Linked DNA regions of Saccharomyces cerevisiae S288C. The gene in region 1 interacts genetically with each later gene. Each region holds a gene or a part of one and is shown on either strand. Other genes may lie near its edges. The genes, in order: NET1, CDC15 and MOB1.

The links.
Region 2: of NET1 (region 1) and CDC15, a mutation in one rescues a mutant of the other (synthetic rescue), as found in Saccharomyces cerevisiae (3 studies listed by BioGRID).
Region 3: of NET1 (region 1) and MOB1, a mutation in one rescues a mutant of the other (synthetic rescue), as found in Saccharomyces cerevisiae (2 studies listed by BioGRID).

Annotation. Positions count from the first base shown.
Region 1 is NC_001142.9:293,283-297,039, reverse strand, and holds the start of NET1 (Net1p), read right to left. Parts: upstream 1,796-3,757; coding exon 1-1,795. Other genes in the region: YJL077W-A (uncharacterized protein), read right to left, coding at 2,155-2,241; ICS3 (Ics3p), read left to right, coding at 1,979-2,374; YJL077W-B (uncharacterized protein), read right to left, coding at 2,895-2,993; PRY3 (Pry3p), read left to right, coding at 3,059-3,757. UniProt on the Saccharomyces cerevisiae protein: Has a role in chromosome maintenance and is involved in mitotic exit. Inhibits the action of CDC14 by sequestering it in the nucleolus. Also binds to RNA polymerase I and stimulates rRNA synthesis.
Region 2 is NC_001133.9:173,374-177,130, forward strand, and holds the start of CDC15 (serine/threonine protein kinase CDC15), read right to left. Parts: upstream 1,763-3,757; coding exon 1-1,762. Other genes in the region: seripauperin PAU7, read right to left, coding at 3,483-3,650. UniProt on the Saccharomyces cerevisiae protein: Protein kinase of the mitotic exit network (MEN) essential for late nuclear division in the mitotic cycle. Promotes mitotic exit by phosphorylating DBF2 and directly switching on DBF2 kinase activity.
Region 3 is NC_001141.2:164,415-168,069, forward strand, and holds MOB1 (Mob1p), read left to right. Parts: upstream 1-2,000; coding exon 2,001-2,020; intron 2,021-2,105; coding exon 2,106-3,030; downstream 3,031-3,655. Other genes in the region: PFK26 (6-phosphofructo-2-kinase), read right to left, coding at 1-1,347; SLM1 (phosphatidylinositol 4,5-bisphosphate-binding protein), read right to left, coding at 3,167-3,655; YIL105W-A (uncharacterized protein), read left to right, coding at 3,250-3,390. UniProt on the Saccharomyces cerevisiae protein: Functions as an activator subunit for the DBF2 protein kinase. Binds to DBF2, which is required for the phosphorylation and activation of DBF2 by the upstream kinase CDC15 in late anaphase.

The DNA.
Region 1 (3,757 bases):
CATCATTATCATTGCCATCGTCCTCAATGGTGCCGTTAATGATAGTGCCATCTTCCTTTGAAGCGTTGTTGTTTGAACTAACTTTCCCAGCTAGTGATTTCAACGTCCCATTAGACTTATCAGATGATGCAAGTATTGGCTGATCATTATGTGGAATTGTCGGCAAAATTTCCTTTTCTAAAAGTTTATCATTCGTATCTTCTTTTTCTCTTACCTGATTATCATCTAGGAAATTAGTCATTCTTTTCGGTTCCACAATACCGGAAGGTTCCGCCTGAGATTTCTTTTCCACTATAGTTTCCAGTGAACTCTTTCTTGGTGGTTGATGTTCTTGTTGCTTTCCCCAGGATTCGCCATTTGAAGATTTGGTGATCGAGGTATTGCTTGCCTTGGGAAGTTCTGCTAAATGCACATTGTGTGGCATGGCATCACCGAGAGGACTATTTTTCACCGGAGAGCCATTATTATCTGCGATGGAGCTTTGACTACGTTGCAAGGAAGCCTTTGAATGTGGTTCTGTTTCAGGAGTTTCTTGGTTTTCGCTACTTGAGCTATCGTCGGATTCGTAGTTCTCGCCATTTTCCAAGTAAGGTTTTTTCATTGGAATCTTTGCAGCTTTAGCGGGTAAAATGGAGGCCGGACTGGAAGGTCCCTCTTTTAACTCTTTTTCAATCTCTGAGATTCTTGGCTCGGGGATTTTCAACATTCCTGATGTTATTCTTGGAGTGGTTACGGGTGGTTTCCTATTAATGTCCTGAGCAGTGACAGCAGCTGTGCCACCATTAGCAAATGAAGAGGAAGAAGCTGAAGCAGAGAAAACCAATTCGTTTTTATGTGCGTGTTCAGAAACCACTCTCTGACCGGTAAGAGTAACTCTGTTTGGAGTCATGGTGGACATTATAGGAGTTCCGGACAATAGACGTTGCTGCTTTGTTTTATCTGGATCCACGGTTGCTGATCTGGACACGATATCTTCCTCGACGATGCTTGATTTTATTTTTTTACCTGCGTCAATGCCCGAACTAATTCTTATGGGAGGTGACTGAGGCTGCGTTGGAGGCGGCAAAAAGGATCTTTCACCAATGTCTTCGTCTTCGTCATCTGAGTTGTTGGAGACGATCTTCGAAGAAGGTGGAGGATAAATTTGCCTAGCCAATGGGGTAGAAACCCTCATGGATCCATTAGTGGCACTACGAATGGTTGTTGTTGTCGTGGTTCCTGTAGGTGGCCTCTTCTTGGCAATCCGAAGAACACCTGAAGAGGACGGGATTTGTTGTTGCGGCTGCACCGACTGGGGCGACCCGTTGTTCAACTTGGATCGTTTTACCGACTTATAAAGTGACACTGGTGCGGAATCGTCCAGATCTATCTCATTCTTCAATATAACTCTTACGATATTATTTACATTGAAAACGTCCTTTACCAAAAAATCCGGATCAAGGTCACAACCGCTGTTATCTTGCAAACTCAAAATTTCAATGTCTTCTTGCAAACTCGGGTACATTTTTTCACACTTATCGATGATTTCATCACTCAAGTTCAACAGCGTGTTTGTCGGCTTGGTAAACAAAAGAAACTTCCTAAACCTAGACTGGTTGAAATAGCTTGGCGTGAAACTCACATTGGCAGATCTCAGATTAGCATACTGCAAAGAGGCATCTCCGGCGCTTTGCGCCATATTAGTTCTGTTTGGCAACAATTGAGAAGATTCGGCGATGGTTGGTCCGTAGCCAAACTGTATTGGCATCGTCGCCTGAAGACTCGGAGGCACCAAGACCACTTGTAGCTTGTACATAGAAGGAGGCACGGTGTACAGTAATCGACTTCTCTCTGTTTCAGGCGAACCGAGACTAGGGATTCGATCAGCTCCGGCACTTATTTCATCGTGCTAGCTACTCTTCACTAGTTATTCAAATTGATTATTGACGCTTACCATGAAAAAGAAAAAAAGTTCAAAACATGTGGAACGGGTAACATAATGCACATATCGCTCCCTACGAGAAACAAATCTTATTTTCGAATACGTACACGTACATATCAAATAGGCTTATATCATTCTGACTCTTCACCAATCAGGGACATATCAGTACTACATCTGTTAATAGCAACGTTATGCACTATTTTTTTTCCAATTTTTTTTTCGTTGAGTAAAGTTCAGGTCGTACAGTGGCAAGGAACGACTATTTCTAAAAACTGTATTGCCTTAACCATGTCTTTCCCCTTGAACGCTATCCCTGGCATGTATCTGATAATTGCTTTCCCTCGTCTACAAACAGTAATTCCCCTGCAGCGAAATACTCCTGTTCGAATTACGAAATCGGTGATAGTGAAAGGCGCAGTGAGCGTGCCACGGATCTCCTCTCCGATGCACTAGGGTCCTGTTCCGTGCTCTGGTATCTCGATTAGGAAAGCGGAAGAAAAGAACGGAGGATACCTCTAATTAAGAGGGTCCGTTGTGTTGTGTTAAGCTCGGGTATAGGAAACTTGAAGAGAGGCGAAAAAAACCCAACGATGTGAGGAACGCGTCGCTATTGTTGGTAAGTTTGGCCGAAAAATTGTTTTTCTTCGCACATGGCTGGTTCTGCTGGAGGCGGCTGGGTGTTTATAGTTACCGCAATGCAGGTCGCTTCGTTTACTTTTCTCTGCGTGCTCGAGAACTGATAAATACTGGTTTAGGAAAACCGTCCACTTATGGATTTAACAAGGAGGTGAAAGGTAGGTACCATGGCAATATAGCTAGCAACGCTACGCACTAGCTGTGTGTGCTTGCTCTCTTGTGTTCGTCTTTCGTATATTGCGGGTTCCCGCGGTTAATTCAACAACAAATATGGTATCTAGGCAGGGACCCAGCAACGGAAGGATGTAATTGCTATATAGGGCCGATGAAACAGTTCTCATGTTTCAACTCGGTCGAAGAATTCTCTAAAACATATTCTATACTTCAAAGTTTTTAGCTTCTTGCTTTTCGGTAGTTGCCAAACCAATATCGGCATAAAATTATAATTGCTGCACCCCTGCAACTCCAAACAACTTAAAACAACTTAAAACGAAAACGCTTATGCTGGAGTTTCCAATATCAGTTCTGCTAGGATGCCTAGTAGCCGTCAAGGCACAAACCACGTTTCCAAACTTCGAGAGCGATGTGCTGAACGAGCATAACAAGTTCAGAGCGCTACATGTTGACACAGCGCCGCTCACCTGGTCCGACACTCTGGCCACCTATGCGCAGAACTACGCCGACCAATATGATTGTTCGGGTGTCTTAACGCATTCCGATGGCCCATATGGTGAGAACCTTGCCCTTGGTTACACAGACACGGGAGCGGTGGACGCCTGGTACGGGGAGATAAGCAAGTATAATTATTCAAATCCCGGATTTTCTGAATCCACGGGTCACTTCACACAGGTGGTTTGGAAGTCAACCGCCGAGATTGGATGTGGTTATAAATATTGTGGTACGACATGGAACAATTATATTGTGTGCTCCTACAACCCTCCTGGAAACTACCTGGGTGAGTTTGCAGAGGAAGTGGAACCACTTATAAGCACTGTTTCCTCGTCCTCATCCTCGTCCTCTTCTACCTCAACTACATCAGACACAGTCTCCACCATCTCATCCAGTATTATGCCCGCTGTAGCGCAAGGGTATACAACAACGGTATCGTCTGCGGCTAGCAGCAGTTCTTTAAAATCGACGACCATAAACCCTGCCAAGACCGCTACCCTCACTGCGTCCTCTTCTACCGTAATTACTAGT
Region 2 (3,757 bases), on another chromosome or scaffold:
GACGCGTTGCCATCAAAGAATGAACAGGGGACCTTGATGGAGACTGTACCGAATTCACTGGTGAGTTCCTCGTGGGTGAGGAGGATAACGGTAGAGAGGAAGAAGAAGGAATAGCGGACTTGTGTATTTTATCGTCATTCGTGGTTATCATATAGTTTATTGATTTGAAGACTACGTAAGTAATTTGAGGACTGATTAAAATTTTCTTTTTTAGCTTAGAGTCAATTAAAGAGGGCAAAATTTTCTCAAAAGACCATGGTGCATATGACGATAGCTTTAGTAGTATGGATTGGGCTCTTCTTTCATGGATGTTATTCAGAAGGAGTGATATATCGAGGTGTTTGAAACACCAGCGACACCAGAAGGCTGTGGATGTTAAATCGTAGAACCTATAGACGAGTTCTAAAATATACTTTGGGGTTTTCAGCGATGCAAAATTCGGAGGATACATTATTCCACATTCAATTAAAGTCTGAGGGTAGTCGATGACGAACTCTTTGGCTAAATGTTCGAATTTAATGATCAGTGGAATTCCTCCCATAGCGATGAATTTCAGTCGCAACCTAGAGTGGTTATGCTGGGTATCGTAAACAAAAATGGAGCCAAATGCAGTTATTAATCGTTTATCAACAGTTGTGCGCGACAGACACTCGATAATTGTATCAGCGATGTTCTCGAGGGAGCAAACACTGAAAAGCACATGCAAGTCCGTCAAAGGCTTAGATGAACTCTTCAATTGGCTCAGCAATTGACTTTCAGTGGGGGGCATTAAATCTAGTTCTTGATTGTTTTCTGCCCAGGCAGCGGGAGCCGCTGCAAGACTGAATTTAGAGGGTGATATATTTAGTTTCTCTTCTTGAAAATCGGCATCCCAATGATAATCAGCGTCGGTAAAGTCCTCCTTGAACTTGTTGAGCTTGTCGACCTTCACATTTTCGGTAGAGTTGATCCACACATGCTTGAGTAACTGGTCGGCTGTCGGCCTCTTGTACATGTTTTTCACAAAGCATTTAGATAAGAAATCCTTTAGTGGCTCAGAGAAAGAGCTAGGTGGGTAGTAGGTATCATTTTCAACAGCGTAGTAGATATTGGCGTCTGTCAAATTGTGGTAGGGTGGATTCTTTGTGAGCATTTCAACTACAGTGGCACCTAGAGACCAAATGTCGCTGAGCGTAGAAGCTCCCCTGTTGCCCAGGATCTCTGGAGCCATCCAATTGAGTGTGCCCGCTAGCGTTAAGGCGCTGGAGTTCACAATAGTGGAAACGCCAAAATCAGCAAGTTTGACAGTGTTATCAGCACTCAGCAGGATGTTAGCCGCCTTGATGTCCCTGTGGATGACTCCTTCACCGTGTAAATATTTCAGCCCCAATAGTGTCTGTGTCACATAGGTTTTCGATTCATTTTCACTTAATCCGGTAGAGCTCCTTGAAATGAGCCTCCTCAAAGAACCATTAGCGCAGTATTCGAGGAGGATATACAATTCATAGCTTTTTCGTATGAAGCCGTGGTATTTAACAATATTGTTATGGTTTAAATTTTTTAACAAGCTAATTTCTGCCATAATGTCATTAAGTTCCTCATCATTTTCGTACACGACCTCCTTTATTGCCACGACTTGGTCAGTATGTTTATTAATGGCTTTGTAAACTACCCCGTAAGAACCCCTCCCAATGACCTGCTTCAAGTGGTATTGCACGGATTTCTCAGATGCCCTCTGGATGGGAGTCAAGTTGACTCTATCGGTATCGGCCATACTGTTCATGGTATAGTCTTACCAGGAAAATGGGTAGTGCTTATGTGTGTTTTGTCCTTCCTCGAGCCTCCAAGTAGAAGATATACCTTTTGTGAGGCAGATCTCCCGTATACAAAAATAACAGCAAGAAAAGCGGAAAGACCATCGCAAGGTGGAAAGGATTATAATGGCACAGCAAAGTCCGCACAGAGCACTACAGTATAGCATAGAGTGCTAATGAGTTGATAGGCCCAATTTTGATTATGCCTCTTTTCCATACACGACGCCAGAGGACATTATTACATTACAGTAGTTCGCCGCTAGATGACAAACGACATCCTTACCGATATGAGATGTGCAAAGCTACATAATGGCAACAAGCGTTATGAACAGCCTTGTCTTTACGACCACAGAAAAGCCGTATTAGAGCTCTTCAGCTGCAAAATTTTCTTCTAATATGATGCAAAGCCATCAAAAATCATGCATAGTTATGAAATACCTGATGAAACGCTTCGAGTTCGTGCTCAAGAAATTACTGAAAGGTTACCGAGAAGAAAAATATCTATGAGACACGATAAGGCCCCTTCTGAATCCATTGTCCTGGGCTTGTTCATTCTATTTACCACTTAAAATTGATCCTTTCAAAGGAATTTTTTTCTATTTCCAATAGTATATTTGTACAAAAACTACAAAAATGGATAAAAAATAACAGTAATTTGTGACTACTGTAAATATCACTGATTTGGATTTTGTAATGAGTACTGCTCATGCCCATGCCGATGCAAGTGGATCATAAATTTTACTAAACGATATTCGATAATGCGCCAAGCCTTTATAAGGAACTCAAAATAACCCATATGGACAGTTTCAGAAGGCCAAATAACGATCAAGGACATTCACTCATGTTTTTCAAAGGCGAAGAGTGTAAAATTTTCTTCTATATAGTTCGAATATTTTATCTTATAAATTTCAGTCGTCATTTTCCACATTCGAACTCAAATAATGATAAAGAACGCTGCAGTAATGGCTTAAAAAAACATACTTTATAACCCATTATCTCTTACGTGTAATTTAAAATTGTTTATAGTACTATTTGGTTATGCTTGTATGCCTCTATTATTTACTTGATCTTTTTATGTTTTCTTATGATTGAATTATTTATATTCTAAATTCCTCACGAATTTATACTGAAGATTTCCTTCCAGGCGAGAATAATAAACACATATTTATGATGATAACAAGACGAACGTGTATTAAGCTCCCAGTACGAGGGAAGCAGTAAAAATTATCCCAAGATCCATTTAAAATGGATAACTCCACGAGCTACAACAAAATACTAAGGGAATAGGCCGTTATTTCCGTAAAGGATGGTTTAATAATAAGAAATTTATAATATTAATAATACATATATACAAAAATTTATATTTATATACATGCGCCTAACTATTCATACTATTAATTTCATATTATTAAGCTTTTTTTTTTTCATTTATCATTTTTTTTCGTAACCTCTCATACCTGTACAGGTTTCATTCGTAAAGCAGGGACTCTAGTTTGCGATAGTGTAGATACCGTCTACGGATAGAGCACTAGAGATAGCTGGCTTTAATCTGCTGGAGTACCATGGAACACCAGTGATAACTCTGGTAACTTGGTCGGCGGGAATACCAGTCAACATGGTGGTGAAATCACCGTAGTTGAAAACAGCTTCTGCAATTTCAACTGGATAAGTTTCAGTTGGGTGAGCAGCTTAGAAAGAGTAGTATTCAGCCAAATGAGCTCTGATATCGGAAACATAAACACCTAATTCAACCAAATTAACTCTTTCGTCAGATTGAGATAATGTAGTGGTTGCTGCGGCGGAGGCACCAGCAGCAATGGCGGCGACACCGGCAGCGATTGAAGTTAATTTGACCATTGTATTTGTTGTTTTTTGGGTTATTGCTTAGTGATGATATAGGCTTAACTGGAAGGAAAAGAACAGAGAAATGTCTCAAACAAAGCTGATCAAGCCGCTGTATTTAT
Region 3 (3,655 bases), on another chromosome or scaffold:
TTGCATGAGATTTTGATAAAATATTTCTCTCTGTCTGGCAATGAATTTTGGTAGACTTTTAGCAAATCTTAGACCACGAGGAGTCAAATGGGAATTTCCGCCTATACGGCCACTAACATTATCTTCGCTCTCGCCACTTCTCGTTATCCAAATTTGTCTGTCAGCCAAATTGAAATTTAACAAATAATATACCGTCTGCGAAGCTAAAAACCCTTGAATATTGTATGCGATGACTTTCTTTCCCACATCTATCATTTTGATGTACTGCAAATTTTCGTCATCCTCAATTGGTTCATAGGCTTTCAAGTAGTTTGCCAGGCGACTTTTAAAATCTTTTAAAGAGCTTTCAGGATCTTTACCTTTGTAATCTGGACCAAATAATTTGAGTCTAATATTTTTCTGTACCAGTGCATGATCCGAACAAACAGATTCTAAAAATAAAACCTTCAAATGAGGACTTCTCTTTCTGATTCTAGCCAGAACGTTTTTTCTTCTTTCACGAGAGGTATTTGTAGCATCAAAAATTCCCACAGATCCTGAACCTTCTAATAAATAATCTAGCAATTCATCCAGAGTATCCATGGCCCATTTGTCTCTCAACCTAGTAGAGTCGGCGTTTTTCGGCTCGAAAAACTTTGAATCCTGGTCCTTTAGGCCATGCTCCTTAGCAAACTTCCTTCTAGTGTTACCGACATTAAACACTTTACAATAGTATAAAGAATAATTTAAAAATCTGGATAATTTATTTGTAATAAATGACTTTCCCGTAGCTGGCAGTCCGACCATGACAATCACTAACTTTGATCCACTATCTTCCTTTGATATGAGACCATCTGGAGATGTTTTAGACTTTGTTAAACCAGGAACATCGATGGTGGTAGGTCTTCTTTTATGGTGTCTCGTAGGTGATTTAATGTCTTTCAAATCAATCCGAGTTACCTCATTTGCTCCATCTGAAGGAGGCATGTAGTCAGTAGTATCGTTTGTGGGAATTTTAGCATTTTTTAGTTGCGTTTCGTCGTTAATATGCAATCGATGTAGCGATTTCAAATTAGTAGCGCTATTTTCAGGAGAGTCAGAAGGTGTATTTTCTTCAGTGATTCCAGGAGAGTTCCAATTGCTCGATATAGGAGTATCGCTCAAAGGTCTTTTCTGAAAAAGTGGTAAGTGCTTAGATAATTCATCATGCGGACCCTTTTCAGCATCAATTTTATCATCGGAACTCCGGGATAAAAGATCATAACTGGAGTCTTGACTAGGTGCCACATGGTGTGGAGATTGTGTAGGAGCAAGATCAATATCAGGCGGCACAGGAGATGTTTCAGAGAAGTCTACTGGTTTGAACATGAGCTTTTATTCCTCTTGCCTTTGTTCCCTTGAATAAACCCTTCTTCTACGCCTCTTGTTATTATTTTTACTCTTTTAGCTTATGGCACAAAAGTACACAAATAGATACTAAAAGGCGAAATTTATTTCACTTGATTTACCCGTAACTGAATACTTGAGTTTGTCTATATATATATATGTATACCTTTTATTGTTAAAAAAAGAATATGCCAACAAAATCTATAATAAATAGTCCATGTACTCCACTATAAATTAATTTGCTATTGTCAGTAATGGCGCGATTAAAAATAAATAGGAAAAGAAATCTCTCCTCAAAAAATCTTATGTCCCCTAATTTCCGTATGTTGTGATTTTGGTATTCAGAGATGATCACGTGATATAAACGTGATTATTATTATCGGTCGGGTATCCCACTCGTATAATATGACAAATACGTTCGATCAAAAGAAGGGTAATACTACTTCCCAAAATGGAAATATCAAAACGTTAGAAGAATTACAATTATAGCTTTGGTAACATTACTGATCTAAAAGAGCCTTAGCTCAGCCCGTTTGAGCTGTATAGATATTTTTTTAGTTTATTCGAGAGAAAACCGGTTTTTTTGTTAGTATCTTCAACAAAATTTTCCTAATTCAATAAGGACTTCAATTTCCATGTCTTTTCTACAAAATTTGTATGTTGCTATTTTCTTTTCTACTTCAAGTATTATTGTTCATCTTTTATTAACAAACTGGGTATGAGTTACCTTTTGAAAGCAGTCATATAAGTCCCGGCCAAACAATAAGATCTACTAGAGGTTTCAAGTGGAATACTGCCAATGCAGCTAATAATGCAGGCTCTGTATCGCCTACTAAGGCAACTCCCCATAACAATACTATTAACGGCAATAATAATAATGCCAATACTATTAACAATAGAGCAGATTTTACAAACAATCCAGTAAACGGATATAATGAAAGCGACCATGGAAGGATGTCTCCCGTCCTCACTACGCCAAAGAGGCACGCCCCTCCGCCTGAACAATTACAAAATGTAACGGACTTTAACTATACACCATCGCATCAGAAGCCGTTTCTACAACCGCAAGCAGGTACGACAGTTACAACACATCAAGACATCAAGCAAATTGTGGAGATGACACTGGGGTCTGAGGGAGTCCTTAACCAAGCTGTGAAGTTACCGCGTGGTGAGGATGAGAATGAATGGCTAGCGGTTCATTGCGTGGATTTTTACAATCAGATTAATATGTTATACGGGTCCATCACAGAATTTTGCTCCCCACAAACATGCCCGAGGATGATAGCGACGAACGAATATGAATATCTTTGGGCATTTCAAAAGGGTCAGCCCCCCGTTTCGGTAAGTGCCCCTAAGTATGTGGAATGTTTGATGAGGTGGTGTCAAGACCAATTTGATGACGAATCTCTTTTTCCTTCCAAAGTCACCGGTACCTTCCCGGAGGGATTCATCCAACGAGTAATTCAACCAATTCTAAGGCGATTATTCAGAGTTTATGCGCATATTTACTGTCATCATTTTAATGAAATTCTTGAACTAAATTTACAAACCGTACTAAACACAAGTTTTAGACATTTTTGTCTTTTTGCACAAGAGTTCGAACTACTAAGACCGGCTGATTTTGGTCCGCTGTTAGAATTAGTGATGGAGTTGAGGGATAGGTAGTATTGTATATTTATATAAGTCTGCTTGTAGGTTGTATTCTTCCATGCATGGGACACAAAAACAAAAATACGGAAACATATTAATATAACATATGGATGGAAGGAAATAAAAACATTCTAGTTTACTATACTTGTATTTATGATTTGAAATCGTTTATTGGAGTTTGAATATAAATATTGGGAACTTGATCTTGTAATTCAGAATCATTAGTATCAGGTAATGAAGACATGGATGTATTCGTATTTGTTTGATTGTCCAATTTTGGTGTTACCGTGGACCCCACATAATTACTATTTATATCATCGTTTTCATCATTTTCTACCATTGTGCTATTGGCATTACTCAGCTGATACTTATTAATGCTGGTATGGTTATTGGTTAGCTTGGGTTTCCCATCTGAATTCAAGTTTAATTTTTGTGTTATGAATTTATACTTGTCTTGTATATTCGAAGTAGATGTTAAGATCTTCAAATTATCAAACCAAGACATCATTGATTCATAAGAATCGGCTTTAAAAACCCAATTGTGACCACGACGAATTATGCCGTTTTGCTTAGCATGCAACACAAACTTAGCATCCGAACCAGTCGAATTTGGTGATGATGTACTGTTTTTCCGGGAATG